Linked DNA regions of Canis lupus familiaris. The protein of the gene in region 2 binds, or shares a complex with, the protein of the main gene of each other region. Links are inferred from orthologs where the notes say so. Each region holds a gene or a part of one and is shown on either strand. Other genes may lie near its edges. The genes, in order: FGF19 and KLB.

Evidence for each region.
Region 1: the proteins of KLB (region 2) and FGF19 are in contact, whole or in part, in a crystal structure (PDB 6NFJ), measured with the Homo sapiens proteins. The link is inferred for Canis lupus familiaris from reciprocal best matches to the Homo sapiens genes KLB and FGF19. Residues at the interface, in NP_783864.1 of Homo sapiens: Phe379, Lys380, Val392, Leu394, Trp419, Phe420, Thr421, Asp422, Val425, Thr431, Tyr434, Met435, Asn438, Tyr643, Glu693, Arg696, His743, Asn824, Phe826, Met832, Gln848, Phe849, Leu850, Gln851, Ile853, Leu862, Phe931, Phe942; in NP_005108.1 of Homo sapiens: Leu192, Thr194, Asp195, Ser196, Met197, Pro199, Phe200, Leu202, Val203, Thr204, Ser211, Pro212, Ser213.

What each region holds. Positions count from the first base shown.
Region 1 is NC_049239.1:48,913,472-48,929,315, forward strand, and holds FGF19 (fibroblast growth factor 19), read left to right. Parts: upstream 1-7,492; coding exon 7,493-7,733; intron 7,734-8,111; coding exon 8,112-8,215; intron 8,216-11,120; coding exon 11,121-11,435; 3' UTR 11,436-12,575; downstream 12,576-15,844. UniProt on the Homo sapiens protein: Involved in the suppression of bile acid biosynthesis through down-regulation of CYP7A1 expression, following positive regulation of the JNK and ERK1/2 cascades. Stimulates glucose uptake in adipocytes. Activity requires the presence of KLB and FGFR4.
Region 2 is NC_049224.1:73,575,443-73,590,634, forward strand, and holds part of KLB (beta-klotho), read right to left. Parts: intron 9,484-15,192; coding exon 8,973-9,483; intron 6,142-8,972; coding exon 5,873-6,141; intron 314-5,872; coding exon 1-313.

The DNA.
Region 1 (15,844 bases), on a different chromosome or scaffold from region 2:
GAAAGAATCTCAAGCAGACTCTGCACTGAGTGTGGAGTCCAACACAGGCTTGATCTCATGATCTGAGCCAAAATCAAAAGCCACCCAGGGACACCCCCTTTTTTTGTTTTTAAATAATCTCTACACCCAGTGTGGGGTTTGAACTCACAACCCAACCCTGAGATCAAAAATCGCACTCCACGCATTGAACCAGTCATGTGCCCCCAGTGTTAGCCATTGTAAAGCATAAAATTCAACGTGGCATTTAATACCTTCATTGCCACCCTAAAAAGACAGTTCTTACCTGTGAACCCATTGGTCAGTCCCCAGGCATCCCTCCCCAGCCCCCTGGAATGGCCAGTCTGCTCAAGCCAGTGTTTTTATTTTTATTTATTTTTAAATATTTTATTTATTTATTCATGAGAGACACAGAGAGAGGCAGAGACACAGGCAGAGGGAGAAGCAAGCTCCATGCAGGGAGCCCGATGTGGGACTCAACCCCGGGACTCCAGGATCACACCCTGAGTCAGGCAGATGCTCAACCACAGAGCCACCCAGGTGTCCCAGCAGGTGTTTTAAATAAGGAACCATCAGCATGTAGGTTTTTTCTCTTTTTTTTTTTTTTTTTTTTAAAGACTTTATAACAAATCAAACGTTGTGCTGGACTCTGTGATGTTCTGGGCGGGAAGGGGATATTGCTGTAATAGAATGTGTTCTGGTCCCTTTTCTGCTGCCCACAAGGCTGAATGTCATTCCCCCTCTCTGATTCTTATTTTTGTTCATTTGCTAATTTGGGGTTTCTAAGAAATCACCTTCCAGGTCCTGCGCAACCCCAGAATCAGTAAAATGACCTGGAGTCCCTAGTTCACTGCCCCTGTGATTTGCCTCCGGGAGTATCGGTCCTGCCTGCCCGTCTCTGCCCAGGCCTGGAGGGCAGCGGGGCAAGTGGGAGGTGTGCTGTCCCCGGCATGGGGTGGGGAGTCTCACTCAGCTCCTTACCTGTCAGCTCCTTACTGCCAGCCTGGCTTCGTGTGCCTTGGTGTCTCGTCTACCAAATGGGTCAATGGCTGGCGCCTGGTGCTGCTGCAGGAAGTCTATGGGACATGACTTTGTTGGGCAGACCCTTCTCCAGAGGTGAGGTCTTAGATGTGAGTGACGCAGGAGGACTGGCCCTGGTCCAGGGTGAAAGTCGCTGCCCTCCCTCTGCCAGCACTGGCGGGGTGCTCTCTCCCACGGACTCCTCTCCAAGAGGAAAACGCGAGTGGATATGGCTTCGTCCGGAAGTGTTCCTGAAATATGCTTATGGTGCCCGGGGCCAGTCCTCGGGGAGAAGGACTTCTAGAGAGAGTTCTTGTTTGTGCCACTCCCGTTGGCCCCGGCGATCCTGCAGATCCTGCAACAGCAATGCCAACCTTAACCTTCCCTGCGTGCACCACCGGGTGCCCCAAGTACACCCCTCCGGTTGGGTTGGGAGCCCTGCCTCTGGGCTATCACAGGCCAAGAGAAGGTCTGATGCATGAGACCTGACCCATCAGAAGTGCTCAGAAAGTGTTGGCAGATCCGTGAATGATGAATACGGCCAGGGAAGCCAGGGCAGGGTGGAAGGAAGGATGGACAGAACGTGCAAGGGAAGGATAGACAAACGGAAGAATCCAGCACATTCACAGCCACGTCAACGCCTCCTGGTTTCCTTTAAATGATTGGTGCACTTTTTCTTGACCATCAGCTACGTGTCAGGTTCTGCTCAAGGCACTGAGGACACGGCTGCAAACTGAGCAGACACATTCGCCACCTCCACGGAAACACGTTTGGGGAGGAGGCAGATGGCAGGGCAATAACCGTATGGAGAAACACCTGCCAGCTGTGTGAGGAGCAGAGCCCACGGAGCCCCAGCAGCACCCCAACGGGTTGCTATCTGGCTGTCCTGCTGGCCAGGGGCCACCACGTCAGGAGTGCTTCCGCTCAGTGACTCCAGGACCTTCCAGGATCAATATTTTAATGTGATGGCTTTTAGAGACATCACTGTTAGCACAGTTCATGTTTTCTCATTAAGCTACCTTTTTTTTCTTTAACGGGGTGACATTTGCCATGTTCTTGCATTCTTAGATATTGATACACTGACAGGTCCAACTATTTTCCATTGGAAACACGTGGCTGCTTTGATGAGCAGAATTCATGGGCAGAAATCAGCTTTACAGCCATGTTGTGAGGAGTTCCTCTGTCCCAGGAATGACTGCCAGCTCCTGTATCACATATGATAAAGTAAGGCACAACCTCACCTACACCCTGCCCAATGGGGGTGGGGTGGGGAGGTGGACAGGGGTGAGGGGCTGGGCCAGTGAGTGGGCCTCAGGTCCTGGGGTGGGGTGGGAGTCTGAACTGGCAGCCAAAGAAGCTTCCAATCCCAGCTCCTGTGCCCCTTGGTTGGCTGTGACTTAAACATAGTGTCGGACTCACCTGAAGAAGCCTGGAGGAAGTTGTACCTCCCTTAGTGTGGATAGAGAAGGGTCGTTTCCCAAATTCCAGTAGCAAACGGCTACATCTCACCTTAATCCAGCGTTTGTACCTGGACTGGGACCTACCTGGGAAGAGAGACCACAGAGCCTGGTAATCCCCCTTCTGAAAGTGGATAGGTGTGAGATGTGTCTCCAGGATTTCCTCCCCTACGTGATGTGGGAGAGGAGACGGGAAACAACCTAAATGTCCAGCCCTGGGGAACAGACCAGACCCTCACAGTAGCCCACTCAGATCTGCTGGGATCCAAGAGGGCTGTAAAAGGGGTTTAATGTCCTGGGAGACGGTAAGTGAGAGAAAGGAAAATATAATTCAAATGCTGTGGGTGTTTTGTTTTTTTTTAAAGATACATATGTATTTTTTAAAAGTCTGAGGAAGAAATTTACCCAAATAGAAACAGTAGCTCATAATGCAGTCATAATATTCCAGGTTTTAAACTTGCCCCCATTGCGATTTTCTGTAGTTTCCAAATTTTCAACCACAAACAAGTACCACTTTTGCAATGAAAACGTTCAAACTCAAGGTGCCTGGGTAGCTCAGTGATTGAGTGTCTGCCTTAGGCTCATGATCCCGGGACCCTGGGATGGAGTCCCACATAGGGTTCCCCATAGGGAGCCTGCTTCTCCCTCTGCCTATGTCTCTGCCTCTCTCTCTGTGTGTCTTGTGAATAAATAAATAAAATCTTAGAAAGAAAGAAAGAAAGAAAGAAAGAAAGAAAGAAAGAAAGAAAGAAAGAAAGAAAGAAAGAAAGAAAGAAAGAAAATGTTCAAACTCCACTTCATTGAGTCACAACTTAAAATGCACCCTAATTTTAAGGGCACCATTCAATGAGTTTTGACAAATGTCATTGCCTATTACTCATCACCTCAATTGAGAAAAAGGACATCCCCATCATCCCAGAAAGCTTCCTCTGGCTCCTTTCTGGTAATCCCCACGCCTATCTCCTGCCTCAGGCAACTACTGATGAGCTTTTTGTCACTATAGACCAGATTTGTCTTTTTCTAGGGTTGCCGTTATTTTAAAATGCAAAGATAACGAGAGTAGCCTTTAAATAAATAACAATAGCTACCCCTTCTGTTATGCACCCACGTATGCCAGGCGGTCTCTATATGAGTATTTATCTCTCCATTGATGGAGGTATCTTTGCTAATTCTCACATTAACTCATTTGGAGGTTAAAAGCAATCCTTTTGCTATTTTACAAATAAAGAGGCTCAGAGAAGTCTTCCTTTTTCCCCTCTGATATGGCTTCTGCCCATTTCTGGGCTAGTGGGGTGCCGTGTCTTTTATTTTTAGAATAATGATCCTAGTAGGGGAAAAATGGGTTTTGATGACACCGAATGCTTTGGGGGAAATGATGCATGTTCTAGCAGATTCTAGCAAACATATTGGACTGATTCAGTGTCCCTGAGTTCCATTCTTGGTTCTGCCAGGAACCAGTGGCTTCCCTTAACCCAAGTATTCATAGTCCTTTCTGTCACAGGCCTGTTTTGCCACTTCTTACTTTTTGATGAAGATTTTTACCACCACCGAGAAGTTTCTGTAATTACAAGGAACTGCTCAACTGTGGGGCGGGGGCAGGGGATTTGGGATGGGCTTGAGGAGGTGCTTATGTACTTAAGAAGGCATGTTTGACATTGTAACGTAAATTTCTAGCCATAAAGTGAAAAGAAAAACAACTATTTTCATAATGCAAAGACTGGAAGCGAACCGGAACAAGATTTTCTTAGCTGTTGGGATGTGCGTTTAGAAACAATGAAAATCTTTCATTTGCCACCATCAAGAACAATTCAGACAAGCTTGGGTTGAGAGAGGGTGGCCCCAGGATAAGGGTTTAGGGCAGTTCAAAAGATCCCAGCTGGGGGCACCTGGGTGGCTCAGTCGGTTATGCTTATGCGGTTATGCGTCTGCCTCAGGTCATGATCCTGGGGTCCTGGGATTGAGCCCCATGTCTGGCTCCCTGCTCAGCGAGGAGTCTGCTTCTTCCCCTCCTTGTACTCTCTCCCTCAAATGAAAAAATAAAATCTTAAAAAAAAAAACAATACAAAACACAAAAGATCCCAGCTAACATCGAACCCAGAAGGAAGCTGCCAAGCAAGGCACTTCTGGTCACCATTGCCTGAGAGCCCTTGGGCCCTGGGTGGGCTGAGTGGGGCAGCGAGGGTGACCTGGACTCTTGCTCCAATTGCCCTCCACTCAGTGAATGAAATCTCACCGGGGCGGGTCACCGGGTTCAGTCACCACCAGAAAAATCCAGATCATCCCATCCCAGCATACTGGTGGCTGCAGGGCTGGGAGCCTTTATTGGGTTCCTCGCCGTCCTGAGCAGCTCTCACCTAGAGTGCTAACCGCAGCGCCCCCTGCTGGCCAGGACCGCCTTTCCCCTGCTCCTCCTGTCTTCCTCCAAGGAGCACACCAGGGGGACCAGCAGACCTGCCCAGGGCCCCTAGCTCAGCCTGGCTGGGAGCAAACACTTGCTGCCTGTCTGGACAACTCTGCACACCTTCGTTTCCTGATAGTATGAATTAATCACCCAAACTTTCAGAGCACCCTGTGATTATGTAATGCTAGTACCCCATCAACTCTTAGTGGATGGCCGTCACTCTTCATGAACCATATCTGGTACCTTAGGTCCACTCTCCCATGTGACCCCAGGACAAGGCTCAAAGCAAGCATGAGGAGACAACAGGCCCAGCAGGTCCATGACCTGCCCACGGAGAGCCCAGGCGAGGATTTGTGGTGGAGAGAATCCGATCCTAAAGCCCGAGCCCCTGCTTGGAGGCCACAGCACCTCTCAGAGAGGAGGCATGGCCTGGATTTACAAGCTTGATGGCCTGGGTTCCAATTCCAGGTCCACTACTTGAAGGCTGGGTGCCACTTTTCTGGGGCCCTCCTCTCCTAGCTATTCAAAGAAGTGGGGATAGAATACTATGGAGGTTCTTATAGGGGTTAAAGCCGAGGACACCCATAATGTGTTTAGAACAGGGCCTGGGCATAGGAAGCTGCTGCCTTTACCACCTTCCTGAGCTCCGAGATCACAGTGGCCACTGTCCTTCCACTGTGTCCATGGGAAGGGCAGCAAAAGAGCACGGGTGGGGCCAGAGGCTGGTGTTCCCTGCCCCCAGACCGATCCTGGGTGCGGCCCCCATTGCAGCCTCTGCCATCCTCCTCAGTGCCCCACATTTATCCAGGATCTTTAAAACGAAAGCTGCAGGGGAGGGTAATTAAGTTTAATAGGAGCCGCTGTCGATTTAAAGCCACAGGGGGGAAGTAATTAGATTTAACAGAAGCCGTGGCTTTCTGAACCAAGACACGCAGCGTGGGGGTCCTGGTCTATAAAGCCTTTGAGATGATGTCTTTTTGTAAAGCCTTTCCTGGTGACATTTTCTGCACGCTCCGTCATTAACGCCAGTCACTGACTGGGTATGAACATGGCCTTTACTCATTGAAATTCATTAGGTCTGGCCCTGATTTCTCTCCCCGCTCTCCACTGCTTGCCCGCCCATTGCCTTTGCGCTGAGACAGCATGGCTTTCCCCCAAAACTGGCCTGCTGGGGCTCCACACCCAGGATTTGGGGGTCGGGGGTGAGGTCTGGAGAAGAAATGAGAAAGAATCAGTGTGGAGCCCAAGGTCCCCAGGAGGACCCTCTCCGGCCAGCCAGGGCATTCTCTGGATGCTTTTTCCCTTTTCTGAGCATCCTTGGAGAAAGTCTGGTTTGCAGGTGCCACTAGACCAAGCAGCCCCAATCTCCGGCCTGGTGCCTACCCCCAGCTCAGCATCGCCTCTCACTGCTGCTCTGTCCCTCCCCGACCTCTCCTCCCCCAATCCCCCCAAGACACGGGGCGGGGCGGGGGAGGGGGCGTCCTGGCCCCGGGAGGACTCAGAGACCCGAGGACCAGACCAACGACAAAAGGCACCCCAAACATAAGCCTCCCCGCGCCGCGCCGCGCCTGGTCCGAGCTGGGAAGTCCGAGAGTCCCCGTCCGCCGCGGCCGAGCCGTCCCTGCGCCCGCGAGCGGCGCCTTAGGACCCCCGCCCCGCCAGGCTGCAGCTCCGGGGCCGCGGGCCCTGCGGGCAGAGGCCGAAGCCGGGGCCGAAGCGCCATCTAGCGCTCGCCGCGCGCCACTTCCCCATTGTTCGTCCCGGGACTGGAGCCCGGCCCCCCGTCGGGGGGCAATTTACTGGGGTAAAGGGGCGGGAGGGGGGCCGGGATCGCGAGACCATAAGACCAGGACGACGTGAGCTAGTCCGAGCGGCAGGGGGAAATTCTAATGGACGGCTTTACATCTGGAGATATGACGGTTGGGACCGTCGTGGGAGGGAGTGGATGCGGGCTTTTAAGGGGAGAGCGCCCCGAAGCCGAGGCGACGCTTCTCCGGACAGGGGGCGAGGGATGCAAAGGTCGGTGCCTCAGTCTCTGGTCACGGGGTGCCTGCTCCCCGCTCCTGCTAGCGCCCCGCGGGGAGCGCATTCCCTGGGGGAGCCGGAGGCGAGGGGGCGGGGACGCGTTGTCTCCTTTATTGCTTTATAAAATCAAACTCTCCCAGCTGAGAGCGACCTGGCCCCCGGCCCCACCACTGCGCGGCGGGGAGGGGCCCCCCGAACCCTCCGGTGAAACGGGGCCTCCTCCTCCCCCAGATCCGGGAGGCCTGGGCGGGGTCACCCGGGCGGGGTCCGGGGAGGGGCTGGGGCAGGAGGCGGGGTGTGAGTGGGTGTGTGCGGGGGGCGGAGGGCTGATGCAATCCTGATAAGAAATGCTCGGGTGTCGCGGGCACCCACCCGCCGGGCGGGTAAGACGCGCTATATAAGGCCGCTGGCTTCGAGCCTCCGCGCCGTCGGAGCAGGAGCGCTGAGCGCCCGGGCGCCCGGAGCGCACCGCCGGCCCGAGGGACGCACCCCGCCCCGGCACGCACGGCCCTGCTGCAGCCCAGCCGCCCGCGCCCTCGCCCTCGCCGCCAGAACCGCGTCCCGAGCCCCGAGCCCCGAGCCCGGAGGTGCCATGCGGCGCGCGCAGAGCCGGTGCGCGGTGGCCCGCGCCCTGGTCCTAGCCGGCCTCTGGCTGGCCGCAGCCGGGCGCCCCCTAGCCTTCTCCGACGCGGGGCCGCACGTGCACTACGGCTGGGGGGAGCCCATCCGCCTGCGGCACCTGTACACCGCCGGCCCCCACGGCCTCTCCAGCTGCTTCCTGCGCATCCGCGCCGACGGCGGGGTGGACTGCGCGCGGGGCCAGAGCGCGCACAGTGAGTGCCCACTCGCCCCGGTGCCCCTTCCCTTCACCTCCTTCGGGAACCCCACGTTGGCACCTCCGCGTCTGCTCCCTGCCCCGGGCCCCTGACAGCGCGGGGAGCTGGGGGGGGGGCGCCCGCACGTGGACCCACCGCACCCACGCGTTAGTGTTCGCTTGTCCCCTTCGGTTCCCGCGGACCCCCGCTTCCCGGGAACCCCAGATCTTGGCACCTGGGCGTCCCATTCCCTCCCCAGGGTCCCAGAATGCATGAGGGGAGGGGTGGGGTGGGGTGGGGTGGGGGAGGGCACGGGCCTGTGCACGCACCGCATCCACGTGCTGTGGGCCCCGCGGGTCCCGGCTGCAGCCTTCTTTCTGCTTCCCTCGACCCCAGGTCTGATGGAGATGAGGGCGGTCGCTCTGCGGACCGTGGCCATCAAGGGCGTGCACAGCGGCCGGTACCTCTGCATGGGCGCCGACGGCAGGATGCAAGGGCTGGTAGGTGTCTCCGCCGGGGGGACCTCCGCCTGCCCCCGGGCGGGGCCCCGCAGGGGAGGGGGGCGCGCTGGATCGAGCCCAGGCTCTCCTCGCTTTCTGCGTGGGGTCCGGCGGGGGAGCTCGGGAGGGAAGACCGCGAGGGGACAGATGAAGCTGAAGTGTGGGGGGGTTTCTACGCAAGTTTACGGCTGGTGGCCAGAGAAGGGGTGAGAGCTGCCTTTGCATTTCCTATTGAGCCGAGGGCCGGCCCAGGGGGACAGAGGAGACGCTGTCCTCGGCTTTCTTTGACAAGAAACAGTGAAACCCACCTCGGGCCATTTCAATCTGGGCCTGCGCGTGTGTGGTCCTCGCCGCCGGTTCCCTCCCCGCGGTAGAAAAGGAAAGCATGAGAAAGTATAGTCACTTGGACTTTTTTTTTTTTTTTTTAAACCGACCTTCCAATAAGTCAGAAAAAATTACATTTGGGGCGGGGGGAGGGGTTGTGTGTGTGATTTTTTTTTTTTTTTCCTCTCCATTAATTTTTACCTACTAGAAAAGCAGTGTGGTGCTTGCTGACGCGTTGCAAGAATATTCCAGGGGCTTGTTTGCCCTCGTGGAGCGCTCACCTGTGCCGCAGATGCTTTTGGGGGAGGGTGCTGCGGGGAAACGGGACGGGAAGGCCCAGGTGACCCTCGAGGTCTCGGGGCAGGAAGTGTGCGGAAGCTGGGTCTCGGTCTCCGGGAACAAAGGCTGGGAGTTCAAAGGGAGCCCGCGCCCCTCCCGCGCCCCCGGGCGCACAGAGGAGCCTGTGTGAGGTCCCGGCCGGGCGCAGGGCCTCAATGCAGCCCCGCTGGGCGGAGGGCGCGGCTGCCGGAGCGGGGCGAGGGGGCGGGAGACCGCGCCTCCGGGGGTGGCCCCGCCCCCAGGAAAGATGCAGACGCCGGGCCTCCCGGCAGCGCCAGTCTTTTTGTGTGTGTGTGTCCCAGTTGTTCTGTGGCTCTGGGGCCGGTTTATTCCATTTATCCAGAGTGACTGTTTGAGGTTTTATGGCAGAGTCCTGCGTGAAAGGACCAGAACGGAGGGAAAGAAAGGAGGTGGTCAGCTCGCTGAAAGCTGACACCCAAAGCCACTCTCCAAACCCGCAGTGGCAACTTTTGTTATCGGGACATTTACTTGGGATGGGGGGGGGGGGGGGGCGCGGGGTGAGGATGGGCAGGGGAAATGCTGGAGGTCGTGCTGGCGCAGAGGGGTCTAACCCACCAATCTAGTCCAAACTTGGAGGGGGGGAAGGTTGCTTCCCCCGAAATCCTGTTCTGTCCCTTGATCCCGTGGGCATGGCTTAACCAAAACGGAGGTTGTTTTGTTGTTGTTGTTGTTGTTGTTGTTTTTAAACAAATTCCACTTTCTCCAAGCAATTCGAAATCCTTTCCTTTTCTGTTTAGAGAAGAGCATGGGTGCTAGTTTCTCCCAAAGGACCAGCAGAGTAAAAGGGTACCACCATTTGCTTTTAATTCTCTTGTTTATTTATCAATTTGCATTTCCCGTCGCTGTCTGGTGGCTCTATCGCAGTGCGGGAGCTGGGTATGTTGTTGCTTCATTAGACTTGAGCCTTATCAGTGCCTTATCAGCACAGCGCTCACCCACCTGCAGTTCAGCGACCTTTGTAGGCTCGGGCACAAACGGGACTGGGTGCCTCACGGGGTTGTTTACCGCCCAGCCCTCCTGGCTCTCTGCCTTAGGCTGCCCTCTGTGTCCCCACCTTCCCCAGGGTAATGACCTTCTCCAGTTTGGTACAGGACTTGGCCCACTGGTACTTCTTTGCTACCAGTATTCTGGGACCCCAGGAGCTGCTTTCATCCCGTAGGCTTGCATTTCCCGCCACCCCGCTGGGTGCAGACTCTGTTCTGGGTCTGGGGGGAGGGGGCTGCCTTTATCTTGATAATCCTGGCCGGCTGCCTGGAAGGCTCTGGGCCTTGGAAGGAAGGAGCCCTCACCCCTCACAAGGGGGCTGAGGTTTCCTGCAAGGACATCAGACAGAAAGGCCTCAGAATGGCCCACTGTTACTTAGGTCTAGATGGGGAATCAATGCGCTAGTCTGGGCCCTAGATCAGATTAGGAGAGCATACCCAGTGTAGCGGTGTCTCCCAAAGTGTCAGTGGACCCCAGGGACATTTTCATGTCAATAGTTCTATGTTTGCTGTAAAGGGTGAGGGACAGAGGCACCCATGTTGCACCTCTGATTTGATGCATATTGCTCAGAACAAGGCTAAGTTTAAGAAGTGACATGATTTAGTGAGAGATATAAAAGATCCATGAAAAGTATATACAGATACTGAGTACACACATGAAATACGCACCTGAAGTATGTGTGTATATGAAGGCATATAAAACACCTATTAATATGTATAAATTTATACTTACAAAGTATATATAATGCGGTATGTAACTTTAATGTTATAATTTATTACATTTCTTTTTTTAAAAAAGATTTTATTTATTTATTCATGAGAGACAGAGAGAGAGAGAGAGAGAGAGAGACAGAGACACAGGCAGAGGGAGAAGAAGGCTCCATGCAGGGAGCCAGACATGGGACTCGATCCCTGGTCTTCAGGATCACACCTTGGGCTGCAGGCGGCGCTAAACCGCTGAGCCACCCCGGCTGCCCAATTTATTACATTTTTATATTAGCATATGCACAATGTGTTTATTAATATAATGTAATGCCTACTTTATAGAAGTACACATTTACATATATAAACACGTACGTTATGCTATGTATAACTACACACACAGATAAACACGGCTCATCATGTGGACCCAAGTGGCAACATGTAGCACAAATGCTCACCAGTGCCCGTTTTCTCTGCTGCTTCTGGAGCACCAGGGGGCTCCCACTGGTGCTCATGGTTGCCTGTTTTCTCCACAGCCTCAGTACTCCGCCGGAGACTGTACTTTCGAGGAGGAGATCCGTCCCGATGGCTACAATGTGTACTGGTCCAAGAAGCACCATCTCCCCATCTCTCTGAGTAGTGCCAAACAGAGGCAGCTCTACAAGGGCAGGGGCTTTTTGCCCCTGTCCCACTTCTTACCTATCTTGCCCGGGAGCCCAACAGAGCCCAGGGACCTGGAAGACCATGTGGAGTCTGACGGGTTTTCTGCATCCCTGGAAACAGACAGCATGGACCCTTTTGGGATCGCCACCAAAATTGGACTAGTGAAGAGTCCCAGTTTCCAAAAATAAGTGGGGCTGTGGCCTGACCTCCCACCCCTGCCCCCAGCCCTTAGAGGCCAGGACCCCAGACGTGTGGTGGGTTCTGGCTGTGCTTCTACAAATACGATCCTGGGCTCGTGTTCCAGTTAGCTTTAGGAAGAGACATCTAGAGCTTGTACATGTACAGAGTTTTCCATCGGCTATGCCAGTTCCTAGCAGATAGACTTGTATGATCATAAAATCATAAGCCCTCCACCCTGCACCTTTGCCATTGCTGGACAGTTTGCTGTGGTGCCCTGATTCTGCTTGAATACCTCCACTGGCCGGGAACTCACTACCTTTGGGAACGTTCTCTCCCATCATTTCTAGCAGGGGCAGCCAGGAAAAAAGCGGTCATTTTAAACTCACGTATAGGTGATCAGCTTTGTGAAAACTTACCAGGACAGAACTGACCGGGCATGGGCATACCTCACCAGGCTTCAGGAACTGGGAGAACCCAGAGCCCGGGAAAACTTTTAAGAACTCCCCACTACGGCTGGTTCTGGGATAGATCACCTTCATCGGACTACTTGGCAGTCTGCCTGCCCCCCCCACCTTGACCACCAGTGCCCTGCACATAGCCAACATTTGCTAAGGCTCAGGCTGATTCCCCTAAATGAATGGGCACCTACTGAGAGGGACAGGACACGAGGACAGCCCCAGCAGCCCTTGCCATCACAATGCAGGTTTCCACAGGATCCCATCTCTGGACGTGTGGGTTTCACATGATTGCCCCTCAGGACAGAACCTTCCTGGTCTCGGCGACGCTGCGGCTCTGGCGTGTTCCCTCCTTTCTTAAGCACCAAGGATTCCAAGAAGAGTGGAGCAGATGTGGCTTCTGGGGCTCCTTCCCCTTTCCTAGCCCTTCGCTGGGCACCACGTCTTCCTATGCAGCAGAACTTGGCAGCCTCCCACCTTGGGTAGACCTGCACATCTCGTTCAAAAGCCAGGAAAGTTTGGATTCGCAAGCCCGGAATCTTGCCAGTAACTTGCGGAAGCAGCGGGGAGAGAGCCCCTTCCCCCAGCACTTAGTTCAACAACGTGGTATTTATGAGTAATTTATTTTGTTTGATATGTACATCTCTCTATTTTCTTACTTTATTTATACTCCTAAGTTGTATTTATGATGTACGTGAGTTTTTTGTTTTCTACATTAAAGCACAATTTGTACCAAAAGTTGCATTTCATTATCCAATTGGATGCCCTCGAGGGAGAGCGGGAAGGGGAGGGAAGGGAAACAGACCTTGGCGCTGAGCTCAGAGGAGAGGCTTTGGGTGTTTGCTGCATTTAAAACTACACTTTCTGCCAAAGCTCACAGTCATTGCAACCACCCTCTAAGCTGAGGCTCTGGTGGGTCGAATAGTAGATTCGGTTTACCCAGTGGTGGAAGCTGCGTGGACCTGGGTGCAGGCTTCCTTCTACTACCTCTGCTAGGACTCTGCATGGTTACCTCAGCCACAGCATAGGGGTGTGTCAGGTGTAGGAACCAAACCCCAGCTAGTAGTGTCACCCTCTGCATGTTGACACTTGGGGCCACGTAGCTCTTTGCTGGGGTCAGGTGTTCCTGAGTGAGCTAGGATGATCAACAGTGACCCTGGCCTCTCCATCCACTAGATGCCAGTAGCATCCCCTCATTATGACAACCACAAATTGCGGAAGAAGTTGCTGCATGTCTTTAGGCAAAATTCCCCAACTGGCTGTTCATTCTAGAGAAAATCATGGGCTTTTCTGAGCCTTGATTTCCTCATCTGTAATATGGGATGAGGATGGAGAGAGCAGTAATGACGGGAGCAGCCACGCAGTGCCTGGTGTGGACAATGGTCCAGTTCACCCCATCACCTGGGAGGTACTGTGCAGTTATGTCAGTTACTCTGCTGAAGATCATTGTGAACGTCTACCGAGGCTATTTCATGAGGCGTCTCCCATGTCCCCTGCAAGGACACCCCACTCTAAGCTGTCATGCACACTGAGGACGTGCCCAGGACCTCCAGAGTTGACCCTCCACCGCTTGTTTGTCATGATGCCGCCTCACTCTTGACTGCCTCTCCCCTCTGCCCCATGACACTGCAGAATGGGTGACCCCTGCTGACCAGCATCCTCTACCCCTTGTTCTACAGGTGATGGAGTACAGGACCACCCAGGGAAGGCACCCATCCAAAGCTGCAGAGCCCGGAAGCAGCATGGTGGAAGGACTGTGGGTTCAGGCAAGAAATCCTCCGGCCTATTAACCTGTGTCACTTGGAGTACGTCAAGTCACCCCTGTGAGCCTGCAACTTCATGTGAACCGTGAGATGAACAAGGTGTGCATTGCAGGACTATTGGGAGAACCAAATGGAATCTGTCTGCGAGATGCCTGGTACAGAGTGGGCCGCCAGACAGCAGCAGCCCTCACCAGGACTCGAACTGGCCCAGAACAATTATTTCTACTGATTCTTAAATTCGGTTGCACAGTGGAATCACCTTGGGAAAGAGAGTGGTTAGAGCACATCCCCAGAGATTGGGTTTAATTGGAATTTGTGTGGCCTGCATATTACGATTTTGTAAAGCTCCCCGAAGATTCACATGCGCAGCCCAGGTTGACTGGCCACAGGAAAACCATTTTATATTTGATCTTTTGTGCTCTGGAGACAAACACTTCAGGGAAAAAGGAATGGAGTGTCCTCCCCACAGCATAGCTGACAATAATGAGTAAATGCACATCTTTGTTTTTGTTTTTTTTTTAAAGATTTTATTTATTTATTCATGACAGACACAGAGAAAGAGAGGCAGAGACACAGGCAGAGGGAGAAGCAGGCTCCATGCAGGGAGCCCGATGTGGGACTCGATCCCGGGTCTCCAGGATCACACCCCAGGCTGAAGGCGGCGCTAAACCACTGGGCCACTGGGGCTGCCCTAAATGCACATTTTTGTAAACTAATTCACACTAGACTGTTGATGGTTAATACATTTTCACTCCAGGTCACGTTTTCACTTGACCTGACGGGCAAAACGTTGTGATGACCACCTTTATGGCTGATGTGGGCACTCTGGCAGGAGACAGGAGGATGATTCTTCAAGACTGCTTCTTGCGTCCAACCCCCTGACCTAACTCTGCTCCTCCTAGGAAGGTGGCCTTCCCCTTTTTGCTGCATCTCCCTTTGCGCCTTAGACAGTGCTATTAAGTTTAAGCAAACAAAAGCCTGACCTGCCCAGTGAAATTTGAATTTCAGATAAGCAACATACTTTTTAGTATACATATGTCCATGCAATATGAGACCTACTTATGCTAAGAAATTATTCATTGTTCATCCAAAATTCAAATTTAAGGGGGCATCCTGTATTTTGTCTGGCAGCACTAGCTTTAGATCTATGCCACAGACGTGGGGGTCAACTACCGAGAAAGTACCAGGGGCAGGAAGGGGCTTGATTGAATAAGCCTGTCCAGTGGTGAGATCCCAGAAGCAGAACTCAAAAGAACTCTTTCTTTGGACTGTTTCTGCACCTGCCAAGTGAGAATCCTCGTGCTGCCTCTAGATTGTTGTCCTTGGGGTTCACCTTGTTGAAAGGCCAGGTGTGCTTGGGGATGGGGGCGGCTCAACACATCAGTGTCTCTGTCCTTCAGCTTTTGCATCTTCTCCCCTCCTAAGGTAAGGACAGATGGTCCCCAGCAGCGGCAGCTTCTCTTACCCCCACCCCCCACAGCTCCCACAAGCATCTGGGACCCTCTCCCCACCCTCCTGTCCCCTGGTGATTCCCCACCAGATCTCCAGATCTCTGCAGCCAGGGGCCAGGACACAATGACTGGTCAGCCCTGAGCCACCCCCACCACACTGGGAGGAATCAGCCCGGGAAGCTCAGGGATTGGGAGCAGGGTGCTTCCCCAGAGGGGACAGAAGTCTCAGTAAATGCCTGCATTTGTTGATTCACCAGCTGCCGTGCTGAATTGGCGAGCTTTTCTCCTCCGGGTTAGGAAATGCCACCTAGAAATGATCCAAAGACAGAGAAGTATAAGGGGACTGTGGGCATAAGACCACCCTGGACCCAGAAATGGGTCATGGAGTTATAGGGAGACAGAAGAGTGGCCCCTGCCTCGGGCTCAGGACACTTTCAAGGTCGTGAGAAGGGAGTCTCATTAGGGCATGGGGAAACAAAAGAAGGGGTGTCTTTTGCAACTGGGAGCAGAGAGAGAAAGACAGAGAGACAGGCAGACAACTCTAGAAGCACCACATCCCATACTGTTAACAGTTTTGGCCTCAACCATCAAGTATGATTTGGAAACCTCATGAGAAGGATCGTCTGATGGACTTACCCCTGGTTTTACCAGGCCAATGCTCTTGGCTCCTTCCTAAGGTTCCAGGAGACCTTTTCCATCATAATTTCTTACTCTTAGGGAACTTCCTTTGGCCACTCTTTAGAGACAA
Region 2 (15,192 bases):
TGACCATCGGGGAGATGCTGAGCTTCAGCGACTCGCTGACCACACACCTGTAGTACCTCAGGGCTTGTCGGTTAACCGTGGACAGGTTGCCGGTGGGAAGGATGGAGGGCCAGTCCAGAGCAAACCTGTAGTGAGTGACGTTCATCCTCGCCAACATCTCAAGTTGTCTTTTGATGCTGACAAAATCTGTGCATTGAGCCGGCCGTGTCTTCAGCCTCACCCCTTCCACTCGGTGCAACAGTCTGTTGCCTGTCACATTCCACACGTACAGGTGAGGGTCGCTGAACTGTGGGGAGGAAGCCACGACTTTGGGCTGTGAAAAACAAGCACATTCAGGTAAAGCACACCCGGCTCACGGGCCCTTAGCATGCACCGTGAAAGGGGAAGAAGAGCCCCGGTCTTACTGTGCTGCTTACTGACAATAGAGAAAATGAATGAAGCATGGAGCCTTAACCACCTGCATGTTCTTGCAGCGCTGGTGATGTCATGCAAGAGGCCTGCTGGATTATCCTCCCATCTAGCTCTTGCAATCTCTCAGGGAGACCAGAAGACAGGAAAGGGACCACACCCACGGCTTGGCTTCCAAGGCAAGTTGTTTTTCAGAAAACACTGAGAAACGGTTTTCTAGTTCATTTGTCCTAAAAACTGAAGTGACGTAGTGGGGTCTCACATGATTCTGTGCAAATGCATCTGGAAATTTGGCTTAGTTAGAAGGAAGGTTGACCTTCTAAACCCTCCCATAAATGGCCAGCAAAGTTGAAATTCCAGCTGCAAAGGATTTCACTGAGATCAGAACTTGGAGTTAGAGGTGGCTGGTTGACCCAGCCAGAGTTCTTAAAAGAGGCCAGTGGGATGGCGTAGGGAACAACCCCTTACCTTGTACCTAACGCAACTCTCTAACACCTTATATTTGAAAAGTCCAAGGGAGACCACATATGCATCATTATGTTGTCCCTACCCATGTGCCTGTGAGAATACGGCATGTGTTCATCCAATAGGAAAATACCAAACACCCTCTTTATGCAAGGTACTGGGATTATGACTGGAAAAAAAAACATAAAATATCCCCAGGAAACTCCCAAATTGACTTTGGATCTGATGGTGTGTCATACCCTGCTTCCCAGTAAGAAGATAATCCTGGACTCCTGTCCTTATTCTGCCCCCTTGAAACTCGGATTTGGCAACTCTGTATAGTAACAGAGCAATCTCACGCACCGCACAGGTGTGTTGTGAGGAGTCAATGACTCTGGGAAAGCACTCTGTCAACTCTAAAGCAATCTACAAACATAAGGTAGTCATGACTTGGGTTTAGTTTTCCACGGTTGCAATAATTTCCTGTTAGGCCCTTGAGTCTAAATTAAAACAGAAAAGGGCTTAAGAGAAACATTTCCAACTTCAAAATTAATAAGAAAAAATAAAAGTTCTGTACTTGTTTTAAAGTACTTTTCCTTCCTATGGCTGAATTTAAATACACCTGGAAAAATGGTAATTAACCTTGGGTAAATATTTTCCCTCTAATTGTTTTCTCGTATGTCATCCTTCATAGTCTAATTACAAAACCATATCACTGCCCACTTACCATCTGCCAGCTAGTTATCTAGAACATTAAACTAAGAGAGCATTGATCATGTGAGCATGAAGTTAAATCTGCATATAATTGAGTAAAATCCTTCTAGCTTAGATTGACAATCCCAGTGTTTTGAAACCTCAGAGCATCTTAATGTTGAAAGGATGTTCAAAGAGCAATCTTGCTATGAGGTAAGGCAAGCCAAATGCAAATCTTTTAAAAACCTCCAAAAAGCATTCGGTTGAGAAGTGGGTGTGATTAATCTGCTTAGACATCTGGTTGGAAATGGTGAACTATGATCTCAACCCTAGCTCCCAAGAGCTTAGTTCTAAAATTCTGTTTCCCACTAAGAGGATCCTGGACTCCTTGGAGAAATGGCTTTTTCCTATCTGGGGCAGGAAAAGAATGAGGTGATGCTGGTACATCTTATGCCAGAAAAATAAGGATGCACTTAAAAACTGAAAAGGAAATGTCACACAGGAGCAGTTTGAAGGAGTCCCACTGGCCACCTTTGAGATAATTTGTGCATCAAAAGGACTAATGAAACAATTACAGTAATGAATTATATATAATGCATTGAAATTAAAAGAATTACCTAATATACGTAGAAGGAATAACAATTAGAAATTCATCATTTTGCAATCTACAAAGTAATCATTCAGGTAAATTTTATGAATCAATATTAAGGCCATTAGTAGGGCGCCTGGATGGCTCAGTGGTTGAGCATCTGCCTTTGGCTCAGGTTGCGATCCTGGAGTCCTGGGGTGGAGTCCTGGGGTTGAGTCCTGCATCAGGCTCTTTTCAGAGAGCCTGCTTCTCCCTCTGCCTGTGTCTCTGCCTCTCTCTCTGTGTCTCTCATGAATAAATAAATAAAATCTTAAGAAAAAAAAGACCATTAGTGATATGTTGTTGGGAAGCAGGATATGTATATGGTCTCTAAGTGTAACCAGCAGATTACTTCTTGTTTTTTTTTTTTTTTTTTTAGATTACGTCTTAATTACAAATGGAAAAGTTACCTTTCAATTAAGAGGTCTGGCAAATGCTGCCTTAATCAAGAAATATGGTAACTACTACTTCAACACAATAACATCTTCCATAATGAAACAATGACACGTGCTTCCTGATGCAATATATTGGGAAATACAACCTCATCTATGTAGTATCTTTACAGAAGTTTATCTTTACAGAAGTTTATTTATCTTTACAATAAAGAAAAAAAGAAATGGAGAACATGAGACATTCTCCAATCAAATGTTCTGGGCTCTTCAAAAGTGATAATAACATGAACTTGGGGGAATTATTCTGAATTAAAGGAGGCTGAAGATAAATGAGAACCAATGTGTCATCCTTGTTTGTATTCTTGATCTAAAAATCTTTATAAGGACATTTTGGGAACATTTAGGATAATTTGAATATGGAATGTATGTTAGATGATATGAATCAATATTAAATATGGGTTTGATAATGCTATAATGATATAGGAGAATGTTCTTATTTTTAGGAGACACGTTTGAATAGAAATATTTTGGGGTGAAGTGTAATAATGTCTGCAACTTTTCACTGGTTTATAAAAGAGAAAGAAATTGTGGCAACATGCTAAAAATTAGTCAATCTAGATGAAGGGAATATGAGTGTTTATTGCACTAGGTTGAAATTTCTCAAAACAAAAGGTGAGAGGAGAAAAGAATACTGAGAGGCTGGAGGAAAATAAGATAGGGATGTTTATAGGTAGATATACTAATATTTTTTAAGTGTTACTTTCATTTTGTCAGTCTTCCTATAGAGGACATCTAGTTTTTTGGCATCTACTCATACATCCTCTGACTGTGTTTTCAAAAAGCACTCTCATTTTTCTTGGCAAACAATTCATCCTCACTCTTAGTCCAAGTTCAAGGGCAGCTGATGCCTCCCTGGGCTTCAGGTATAAGCATGAGACTCAGAACTAGTTGATCATAGAATTGCTTTCCTCTGACCCAAGTGATTCACTCTTCCTCCTAGGAGTAGGGTAGGGTCCCCAGGTAGGATAGACATTCACAGTGTCAATCACTGGGGCACAAGTGGGTCTTTAGATGAAGCAGAAACTTGCAGGTTGGGTCATATACAGGCAGGAACTCTTATCTCTCCTGGCATCTTTCTTTGTTGGGTGTGGAATTATAAAAAGTATAAACCCATTTGAAGTAGTAGGGGAAAGATGGCCTGCCTTTGCCATGTGGAAGAGATAGCAACCGAGTAAGTAGTTGGCTCTACAGGAGACACAAATTGAAGATGAGTCAGTTCTGTATTTAGGTTACTCTATCTTTCCCCCCTATATTATCTTTGAGCCTTTACCAAATCATGTTTAAGTATCAACAGGGACTGAGATTCATAATATGTGAACTTTATTCATTCATGGTTTGAGCCCTTTTGTTTGGTCTCATCCCTTGTAGATCTTGCTGGCTTTCCATATGCTTCTAGAATATAGGCCATAGTGTGGAATTGTGAGGTCTTATAGCATGGTGTCAGGAAGCAGACAGATCTGGGTACCCTGAACAAATCAGGTAACCTCCCTAAGCCTCAGTTTCCTTGCTTGTAAAATGAGGGTTTTAAGATTTAGGAGAGAATATGCATATATACAACAGTTATATGCTTGGCACATAATAAGGACTTAAAAAAATAGCTGCGGGCAGCCCAGGTGGCTCAGCGGCGCCGCCTTCAGGCCAGGGTGTGGTCCTGGAGATCTGGGATGGAGTCGCATGTCCTGCTCCCTGCATGGAATGGAGCCTGCTTCTCCCTCTGCCTGTGTCTGTGCCTCTCTCTCTCTCTCTCTCTCTCTCTGAGTCTCATGAATAAATAAATCTTTAAAAAATAGTTGCTATTATTTTGAAAAGAGCACTGTAAATGTGGGGGCTTGGGGATGCCTGTTACAGTCCTGCTACTACTTATGTTACCTTGGACTCATTTATGAAATGATAGATCTCACTTTCCTTATCTGTAAAATGAAGGATTTGGAAGAGGAGGTCTCTAAGGTCTCATCTGGCTCTAAAAGTTGGCCTTAACAAATTCACTTTGCATGGTACATGGCCGGTGCTCAGTGGTCCATGTACCCGACGCTGCCCTAGTAAGGCACACAGCAGGGAGCAAAGCCTCAAGCATCTCCACCCTTCTGCAGAAAAAGCTTGCATTCTAGTAGGGTGAAAAAATGACATAAGAAAAATCCATAGAGGGATCCCTGGGTGGCGCAGCGGTTTAGCGCCTGCCTTTGGCCTAGGGCGCGATCCTGGAGACCTGGGATCAAATCCCACGTCGGGCTCCCGGTGCATGGAGCCTGCTTCTCCCTCTGCCTGTGTCTCTGCCTCTCTCTCTCTCTCTGTGTGTGACTATCATAAATAAATAAATAAATAAATTATAAAAAAAAAAAAAAGAAAAATCCATAGAGCAGTTACAAGGGGCTGTGGAGGTGGGGGACATGGGGAGATATTGGTTAAAGGGTACAAACATCCAGTGATAAAATTAAGTTCTGAGGATCTGATGCACAGCATAGTGATTATTAGTAATGACGCTGTATTACATAAAGTTGCCAAGAGAATAGATCTTAAATGTTCTCACCATAAAAAGAAATGGGAATTGTTATGGTGGTATTCATTTTGCAATATATAATTGAATCAAGTCAATGTGTTGTTAAACTTACATAATGTGGTAGTCAGTTATATCTCAATACAGCTAGAGAACAAAAGAAACGTGTGAAAAGTACATAGTAGTATGTTAGATAGTGATGAATAGCATATATGGGGGGGAAAGGAATAAAGGGGAATGAGAGGATTGTGATTTTTTTGGAGTGGAGGGAAGCCTTATTGAGAAGGTGGCATTTAAGTAAGTCATGTGATGAAGGTGACGAATGAGGCTTGGGAGTCCCCACCAGGACATAGGGACCTCATAAGCAAATTATTCAAATCTATCAAATAACAGGAACCACTTAAATAAAGGGCCACTAATAATAATTTGCTTTTGGCAAAACAAAATATATAAAAAAGTTTATAATTTTGATACTACTGACCAATGCCTCTTGCAAAAATAGCTATAAGTTCCCTGGAGACTGTATACTTCTTGAGGGCAGCCTCCCATCTCCATCACCAAAGATAAATTCTAGCACATGAAAGGCTCTCCATAAGCCTTGATTCTCACCTTCCTTCCTCTTACCCCAACTCCCCTCTATAACCTCCAAATAGTCATATTTGCTATTGTCTGACAGCTGTCACTGAATAAAGGAAATAAAATACTGTGTACTATTTGCACCAATTTATGGTTACTTTGTAAGCAGTCACTTACCTTAAGGACAGATTCGGTGACACCCCATGAGAAGTCACAGGGAAACTGACCCTGCACATCTGGGGTGGACTCTTTGAAAGTAAAACCATTTTCTTGTATGATCTGTTTATAGTAATATGCCGAAGACTTGGGCTTTCTTTCTTTTTGTTTACTATTAAAATCCACATAAAATAATCCTCGGCGAGTGGAGTAAGCATCCTGCCATTCAAAGCCATCCAGGAGAGACCAAGCAGTGTAGCCAAACACTTGTATTTCGTCAAACCTTATTGCTGCACAGAGGAAGAAAAGCAGAGATGTTCACTCTTGCTCATGTTTATGATTCGCTAACAATCTGCCAGGGGACATGTGCCAGGAGCATATTGTGAAACCAACTTTTTTCCTAAATTACAGGCTCATTATATAAAATAGAAGATTCATGTTTATACTTGAGAAGCGGCAGTCAGTTTCATCCAGAATGGTCCTCCCCCTACTCACAACAAGTAAAAGACACAGTTAAAAGATCAATTTTAAAATATTCCTGAGAATATTAGTGTGTGAATCTGTGTCAGAAGGCATAGAAATTCCCAGAACCCTTTGGGACCAAGGCAGATGTCTGCTCGTGACCAAGAGTTTTTCATTGCAAGCTTGGGTTAGTTCCCATTTGTGCACAAACTATCTTCTATGAAACCACCCTTTAAGGACTGAAAAATCAGCTTGCAGAATGACCATAAGTGAGTGTCCATGAGGAGAAATAGTATAGTGCTTTAAGAGAACTGACTGGTGAGGGGCAGGAGGTAGGGGGCTGCTATGCTCCTGGGAGGGTGCTATTGGGCAAATTTATTGATCTCGTTTGTTAACAGAAAAGATTGGAAAAGATCTTTCAGGATCTTTGAAAACTCCGATTCAATAACTTATTTTTTAAAGATCTATTTTTTTTTTCGAGAATGTGGGACTCCAACTTACAACCCCAAGACCAAGAGTCACATGCTCTACCGACTGAGCCAGCCGGGCACCCCTGATTCAATAACTTTTAGGAATTGGGTAGAAATGAAATATGAGAATCAACAACAGCAATAAAAGCAACAAATACCTAAATCAATTAAGAACTATTTTTCTTTTCTTAAAAGCTTCCAATTCTCTCATAGAAATGCATCACTTCCGCATTTTTGGGTTTTTGTCACTGATGTTCTTTTCCTAAAAGGTGCGAGATCCAGCCCAAGAGATTCTAGTGAGATCAATACATTCCAGTAGGCCCTGGTTCTAGTCCCTTTGGTGTTGTAGGGCCCTCAGGGGAGATGGAATGGTAACACCTAGGGAATGGATACCCCTTCTGCCCAACTGCATGGTATTTGGCCAAGGCTCTCTAGGCAGAGTCCTTTGCTCTGGAGGCCCCCATGTGCACATGCCCATGGCTGGGCGTGGCTGTTCCATGATGCTCCTTCCCACAGTTTGGGGCAAAAAGATCTTGCTCTCCCTGAGGACCTTCCCTGAAGGTACTCCTGCAGAACCTGTGTTTTCCTCTAGGCTTGTGACTTCTAAATTATAATTAGTTAATTAGTTTATTTATTTTTAAGTAAACTCTATCCCGAATGTGGGGCTGGGACTCAACACCCTAAGATCGAGAACTGTATACTCAGGAGCGCCAGGGTGGCTTAGTTGGTTAAGCATTTGACTCTTGGTTTAAGCTCAGGTTGTGATCTCAGGGTCTTGAGATCGAGCCCTGTGACAGGCTCCACACTCAGTGCAGAGTCTGCTGGTTCCTCTCCCCCTGCTCTAATCCCAGTTACTCTCTCTCTCTCTCTCTCTCTGGAATAAATAAAATCTTCAAAAAAAAAAAATAGTTGCATGCTCTACTGACTGGGCCAGCCAGGCACCCATAGGCTTGCGACTTCTAAAGAGGGCTACAAACTTTTAGAAAGATCTACTGAGAATTTCTTTATATTTGGGTGAAATGGAGCCCAATTCTGTAGGGGACAGACCCATCATCATTTGAGTTTGTCTTCTGCTCCATTATTTCAATCAGCCACCTGTAGATGTCACTACTTGAGTAGCGGAAAAGGAATGAGGGGGTTAGTAGGGGTCAGAGAAACACCCAGGAGCAATAGAAATTACTCAATTTTGCCATTCATGGCTCACTCTTTAGACCTTTTCACCATTTAGTCATGTAATAGAATAAAAAGAGCACAATTTATTTTTTCTTTAAAGATTTATTTATTTACTTATTTGAGGTAGATCAAGTGGGGGGAGGGGCAGAGGGAAAGGGAGACAGAGAAAAGCAGGCTCCCCACTGAGCACATAGACCTCCACAGGGCTCCATGCCAGGACCCTGAGATCACAACCTGAATCCATATCAAGAGTGGAATGCTCAACCAACTGGTCATCCAGGTGCTCTTTTTAAGGAGCCTAATTTCAAGAAAAGCTTTCAGTATCTTAGACTAAGGTACTACTGTTGGAAAACTTTGGAACATATCTCTTGTAGCATGTGTCCTTTTAAAAAGGATGATTGAGCATGAGGGCAACTGGGTGGCTTAGTCAGTTAAGTGTCTAACTCCCGATTCAGGTCATGATCTCAGGCTTGAGAGATCAACCCTTTCCTGAGTCTCTATGCTCAGCCTGGAATTTGCTTGAGAATCTCTCTCACTTCCCCCTTGCTCCTCCATATCTCAAATAAATAAATACATTTTTTAAATCTTTAAAAAATAAAAATAAAAAGAATGATACAGCACCTTGTTGCCAACAAGGGTGTATATCTACAGTCTAGTATTATTTTGTTTTCAAACTTTTATTTAAAAAGGACATGAGAGGGATCCCTGGGTGGCGCAGCGGTATAGTGCCTGCCTTTGGCCCAGGGCCTGATCCTGGAGACCCGGGATCGAGTCCCACGTCAGGCTCCCGGTGCATGGAGCCTGCTTCTCCCTCTGCCTGTGTCTCTGCCTCTCTCTCTCACTGTGTGCCTATCATAAATTAAAAAAAAAAAAAGGACATGAGAGTAACACAAAAATTCTATCAACATTGCACAATGGGAAAGCCCAACAACAATAATATGTTCAAAGATGACTTTAAGTGTCCTATAGGATATGTATTACAAAGTTTTAAAAAATTGAGCTAATGTGCAACCAACCTTGAAGAACCTGGTTGAGGAAATTCTTCATCATGTAAATGGCTGTGGTATCTTCTGTTTTCACATGACTGTCTGTGAACCAGCCATTCTCAGCAATCAAGATTCGGGGGTTGCCATATTCCAGTTTAATCCAATTCAGCACTTCTCTTAAATTGAGTGACACATTTTGTCCCATTTTAGCCATGGTGTTCTGGGGCTTGAAATTGTTGGGTCCAAAGGAAAAGGCAAAGAAGTCAGCTGTGCCCCTCACTTCATTCTTCTCTGCTTCAGAGAAAAGGGGTAGAGTGGAGAGCAACTTCTTTTTCATCACTTCTGGATAGTCTCCATTCCCATGGATGGGGTTGGCAAACCACCCGAGCACTGAAACCATGGATTGTTGACATTTGAGTATATCCATCATGTTTTCTGATCTGTTTGGTTCAATCCAATGGGATCCCAACGTGATTGATAACAAACCCTTCTGATATGGGCGGAAATTTGTGTTGTAGTTATGCCAAACTTTCGAATGAGCCTAATAAGAAGAAAATATCATTAATCTTTATGGTCCTAACTCACAAGGATTGTAACTTGGCTGGTAGAAGGTCTTTTCATGGACAAATTAGTGAAGCACACGATGCAGCAGAGAGCTGTCAGGGAACCCTAATGATCTCAAAGTCTGCTCTCTGTCTGCTTCTGCTGTGCCTCCAACGTAAAGCCTCTCCTATTGGATTGCCAATGGGCAAGCAAAGAGCCCTGGTCCAAACTCCATCTTACTTTTGCTCTCCCTGGCTCCTTTCATGCGCCCTCTTGGTGCTGAGTGTAGGTAAGGTGTGGATTACAGAGTTTCTTCCTCTCCTTAAAAAAACAAAGAGCAATGATCTTTCATTGTTCTACAGAATCTCCTTTTAGCCCTAACTTAGAAGTCCTAGATAATGCACTCTCCAAGTCCTGTAAATGAATAATAGATCCCATCTTCTGGGCTTGTGAAGATTGAATGAATTAATACGTGTAAAGGACTTTAGAATAGTGCCTGGCACAGAGTAACCCCTATATAATCCATTATTATTACTACTGTTACTATTATTTTTATAACACTAATATTGTTAATATAACTTTTATTTTTATAACTCTTCTTTTATAACAATATTGTTATTATTAATATAGCAGTTATTATTACTGCTATTGTAAAAGGATGACAGGGATTATACCCTGCAGGAAAGAGTGTGGGTTTTGGGTTCAGCACTCTTGGGCTTGAAGTTCAGATACTTACCATGTGGCCTTAGATAATTCACTTAACCTTTCTGAAATCTCTTAGTATCTTCAGCTGTAAAAAGAAGTTAATAATAATAATAATAATACCCTTTGTAAAGTTGTTAGATGTGACGCTAACATATATATTAAATGTGTAGCACACAATGAAGCATGTAGGAGGTACTGCTCAAAGATGCATGTCGTTGCTATTGGTCCTCCCACAATTTACATTTCCAGTTGGGTTTTCTTGTAACAGAGCCTCATGATAGGTTTCTAGTCTACTTAAGAGGTACTCAGTGAGCACTAGCTTAGTGCTTGGTTTGCCTTGATCTGCCCTGAGAGACTGAAATAAATGGCACAGAAATGTGCCCTCAGGAGCCAATAATCTTATTGAGAAAATAAGATGGAATATGTGGAAGAAAACATGTATAAAACAGCATAAAATAGGTCATTAAATGAAAAAATAATTAAAAGTTTGGTAAAGAGTCATGAGCTATTTCGGGGGAGCCAATATCAAGGCCTACAATTAAGGACTCTAGGCCAGTTAATGCTCAGGGTCACTTGGTGACCCTGGCAGCCTTAGAATTGTCCTTTATCTGTGTGACAGTATCTCTTCCCCTCAGACTTGCTTGCCTCCTGACATCTCTTCCAAGGTGTCCCAATTCCTCCTCTGTTTCGGTGTTTCTAAAACAAGTGCACAAACCCTTACTATTTTTAACTCACAATATCTGCTTTCCGTTTTGTTTCTTAGTTTGTCTTTTGCTCATTAGAGCTGTATTTTGTACTGGGTTGAATGATCTGAAATGCCTTTTTGTAGGCCAAAAACAATCATATCTGAACAATGGTTCAAACCTCATAGATCCTGGGTTGCTCAGTCAGTTGAGCGTCTGAAGCTTGATTTTGGCTCAGGTCATGATCTTGGGGTCCTGGAATGGAGCCCCACAACCAGCTTCCCGCTCCAAGAGCCTGCCTGTCTCCTTCTCCCTTTGCCTCTCCCCACCCATGCTCTCTCTCTCTCTCAAATAAATCTTAAAAAAAAAAGGGGGGATCCCTGGGTGGCGCAGCGGTTTGGCGCCTGCCTTTGGCCCAGGGCGCAATCCTGGAGACCCGGGATCGAATCCCACGTCGGGCTCCTGGTGCATGGAGCCTGCTTCTCCTTCTGCCCATGTCTCTGCCTCTCTCTCTCTCTGTGACTATCATAAATAAATAAAAATTTAAAAAAAAAAAACAGAACAAAAAACTAATAGATTCTGTGAACACTGAAAAGTTCCCTAAATTGTGTTAGGATGGGGAGAGATAGGTGTTACCCTAAGAGGTAAGGATTCCAGAACAGATGCCTCCTTGCTTTATGCAATAGCTAATTTAAATCCTTCCCTGAAAGATTTTCTGAAGGAGTAGATGCTTTGAAGTATTACCACTATTCCACTTGTCCTTGCTCAATTTTCACTGGAAGATCCTGGAATCATTCAGCACCCAAACATTCTCCAGGATGTTCTTCTACTAGAGAAGTATTTAGGCTGTGGCCTTCTCCCTAATCCAGAACCTGAGTTCCGGCTTCTGGAAGGAAACACAGAGGGAGTCTGGGACAGACTTCACCTGAAATGGTCTTAGGTGCTCTTTCTAGGCTTTTCTGGAGCTGAAATAACAATAGAGAGACTTGAAAGCTGCTCCCTTTTCTTTCTTCCTTTTTTTTTTTTTCCTTCTGATTTGCTACAAAAGCAATCATGCATGACTAGAATTCAAAGGCAGCATTCTTTGCTTTATTCCAATCTCTCTTTTAATCCTTTGCTATCCTCTGTAATTTCATTCACAAACACCACAGTGATCAGTACATCTCTTCAGGGCTGTTGTGCCCCTCTGATGTGTAAACTCTAAAGCCCTGGACACACAAGATTCCAAGTCACAATAAGTTGCCTCACAACTACGATGCCGTCAGAAACTAAAGAGAAAGATGGAATCAGTATACATTTATTAAATCAGTCCTCAGAGGAACAAAAAAAGGAGAGGGGAATTTCTTTAAGATAGATGATCTAATACCTATTTCAGTGAGTATATGAAAGATGACCTAAGCATTGATAAAATCTTGGTTACGTCAGCATTTTATTTTATTTTATTTTTAAAGATTTTATTTATTTATTCATGAGAGACAGAGAGGTAGAGACACAGGCAAAGGAAGAAGCAGGCTCCATGGTGGGACTCGATCCCTGGATTCCAGGATCACTCCCTGGGCCAAAGGGAGGCGCCCAGCCACTGAGGCACCCAGGCATCCCTAGGTCAGCATTTTAATGAGAAATAGGATAGCTTGGAGGACAACAGATACACAGATTTGCAATTCCCTTCCAAGCAAGTTTTCTGGAGATATCTATATATATCTATATATAGATATGTGTTGTCATGCCCCAAGGTGACCTTCGTATTCCACAGTGTCTCTTTCACCTTTGCTGCTGTTTGCATAGGCTATCAAGGTATCTAAGGTTATCTGTGCTCTGGCCTGAAGACAGCCTCTCCATGCTTATGTGGGGAATGTGGGGGAGGTTCTTTGTGTGGCACTTATGGTTATAACTTGATCCTGTTTGCCAAGTAACAAGGTAAAAAGTATTGCTTCGAGGTATGAGTTGGATATAAATCTAGATGTAAGAGAGATATCTAGGGGTGTCCTTTGGTCTGACACTCATGAAGGAGGTCTACTGGGAAAACTAAAATGGGGTGCAGAAGTGCGGCCCGGGCTCTGCAACCTTGCACAACAGTCCTTGTGCGATTTTCAAGGTTACCCTCTATCTTGTACAAGGCCATCTACCTTTGGAATGATTGATTTAAGGGAGCTTCAACCTTTGTTCTTTAGATTCAGTAGATTCAGTAGCTTAAAGGGGAAGTCAGCAGCTTTTTCTTTCCAAGCCAGCTATCAGGGCCTGATGTCATTGAGAAACAGCCAGGGGCCTAATATCTCGTTCTGTTCCCTCCTCTAGTCTAACGTAGTAGCTTCTTTGATGCCTAGAAGACCAGACTCAGATAAGTTCTATGAATGATAGGAAGCAAATAAGATAGTGGGCATGACTTTAGAAACAAAGTGAAGACGGGGTCAGAGGTCAGGAAGACATGTGGGACCCTGTGGACAACAGGGGTTGAAGACAGATGAACAAACCTCATACATCACAGGCGCCTGTTTTTAAGAAAGCCCCAAACATTTGTCGAAAGCTAAATTTCCACATCTGTGTATGATTTTAGTCACATTGAGGTTGAAATACCTTCATGTGAACTATAAACTTTTTTATGGTTAAAGTTATTTCATAAAGTCTTAAATAAAAACCGTTAAAGAAAATTTATTTTATTTTATAAAATTTATTTTAAAACTCCACAATCAGAGCAAACTGTTTTCATATTTCTGTGTTCCCTTCCAATTTTTCCAAATATATTTCCCAGCTAAAATCACTTTGAGCATTTTCCATCTTCCTAGTCTTCATAACCATTCACCAATTTGATGAAATATGGTTTACTTAGTTATGTCTCTTTTGATATGCATTAGCTTGCTTTTCTTTCCTTCCTTCCTTCCTCTCTTTTTTTCCCCCCATCATAAATAATGTCGTAATATCTAACTTTGGAATATAACTTTTAATTTGTTTGGATTCTTTCCTTCTGTTAATCCCAGGCATGGGCTACCTATTTTCAAAATTGTTTTACATAGTTCCAAATTGCTTTTCACACATTTTGTCCATTGATGTGAGTGTTCTTTGACCAACTGCTTCAAAACATTGGTTGTCTATTTGGGGATATATGGTTAGCAAGAACGACAGGAAACTGCTATTTACCTACATGCTACTGTAGGAGAAAGGGTCTTGAAAGTAAGAGACCCAGGCTCTAGTATTGGACCTACTGCTAACTGGCTTTATCACCTTGGATAAATCATCCCCTCCTAGTTGCCTCAGTTCTCCCTCTGTTATTCTAGCTAAAAAGAAACACGCTAGAGAATTGTTGTGAAAATTGAAAGAGGTAAACATGTCAAGACCCTATGAAGATAACACAAATATAAATTTGAAGTACATTAAAAGACTAAGCTGAAAATAATTTATCTTGCTGTGAAAAACAATGGTGGGAAGTCTGTGTGGCCTAGAAGAGTGGTCTGCAGCTAGCTCTCCCTACCTCTTGAGTTTCATGGCTAGATATGTGTGTTCTCATTTATTTCTTGCAGCTGATTGAATTTTAGTCATTGTCCATTTGAATTGGGATTAATTTCAGTTTGATTGAATGGAGCTTGAGTGTATTATGCTGGCAAAATGTTAGAGAAAGTCAAATACCATATGATATTCACTCAGATGTGGAATTTAAGAAACAAAACAAATGAACAGAGGGTAAGGAAAAAGAGAGAGAGGGAAGCAAACCATGAGAGACTCTTAACTATGGGAAACAAACTGAGGGTTGATGGAGGGAGTTGGGTGGGGGATGGACTAAATGGGTGATGGGGATTAAGGAGGGCCCTTGTTATGATGAGCACTGGGTGTTATATGTAAGTGATAAATCACTAAATTCTACACCTGAAACCAAAAATAATAGCAATCATAATTTCAGTTTGATTCATTGATTCATGTGTTTTTTCTACTAGCACTTTATATTAGTATCAAGTTTTCTGTTAATTAAAATTGCTGTCCTTCATTCTGCATTCCACAAATATTTATTGAGGGCTTAAGGTATGCAAACTTTTACTGTTCATTGATAAAAAATATATGACTATTATTTCATTAAAAATATGTGGGGGTACCTGGCTTAGTTGGTGGAGTATGTGACTCTTGATCTTGGGATTGTGAGCTTGAGCCCCATGTTGGCTATAGAGATAACATAAAAGTAAAATCTTTAAAAAAATAAAATAAAATATATGACTGTTATTTAAAAAAATTTTTTTTTGAATCTTGAAATTCTTGGAAACAGTATCTTACCCTCATCTGTCTTAGGAGGCAGCTTAAATATTAATAAAAGTTCCCACCTTTCATAAAGAAAA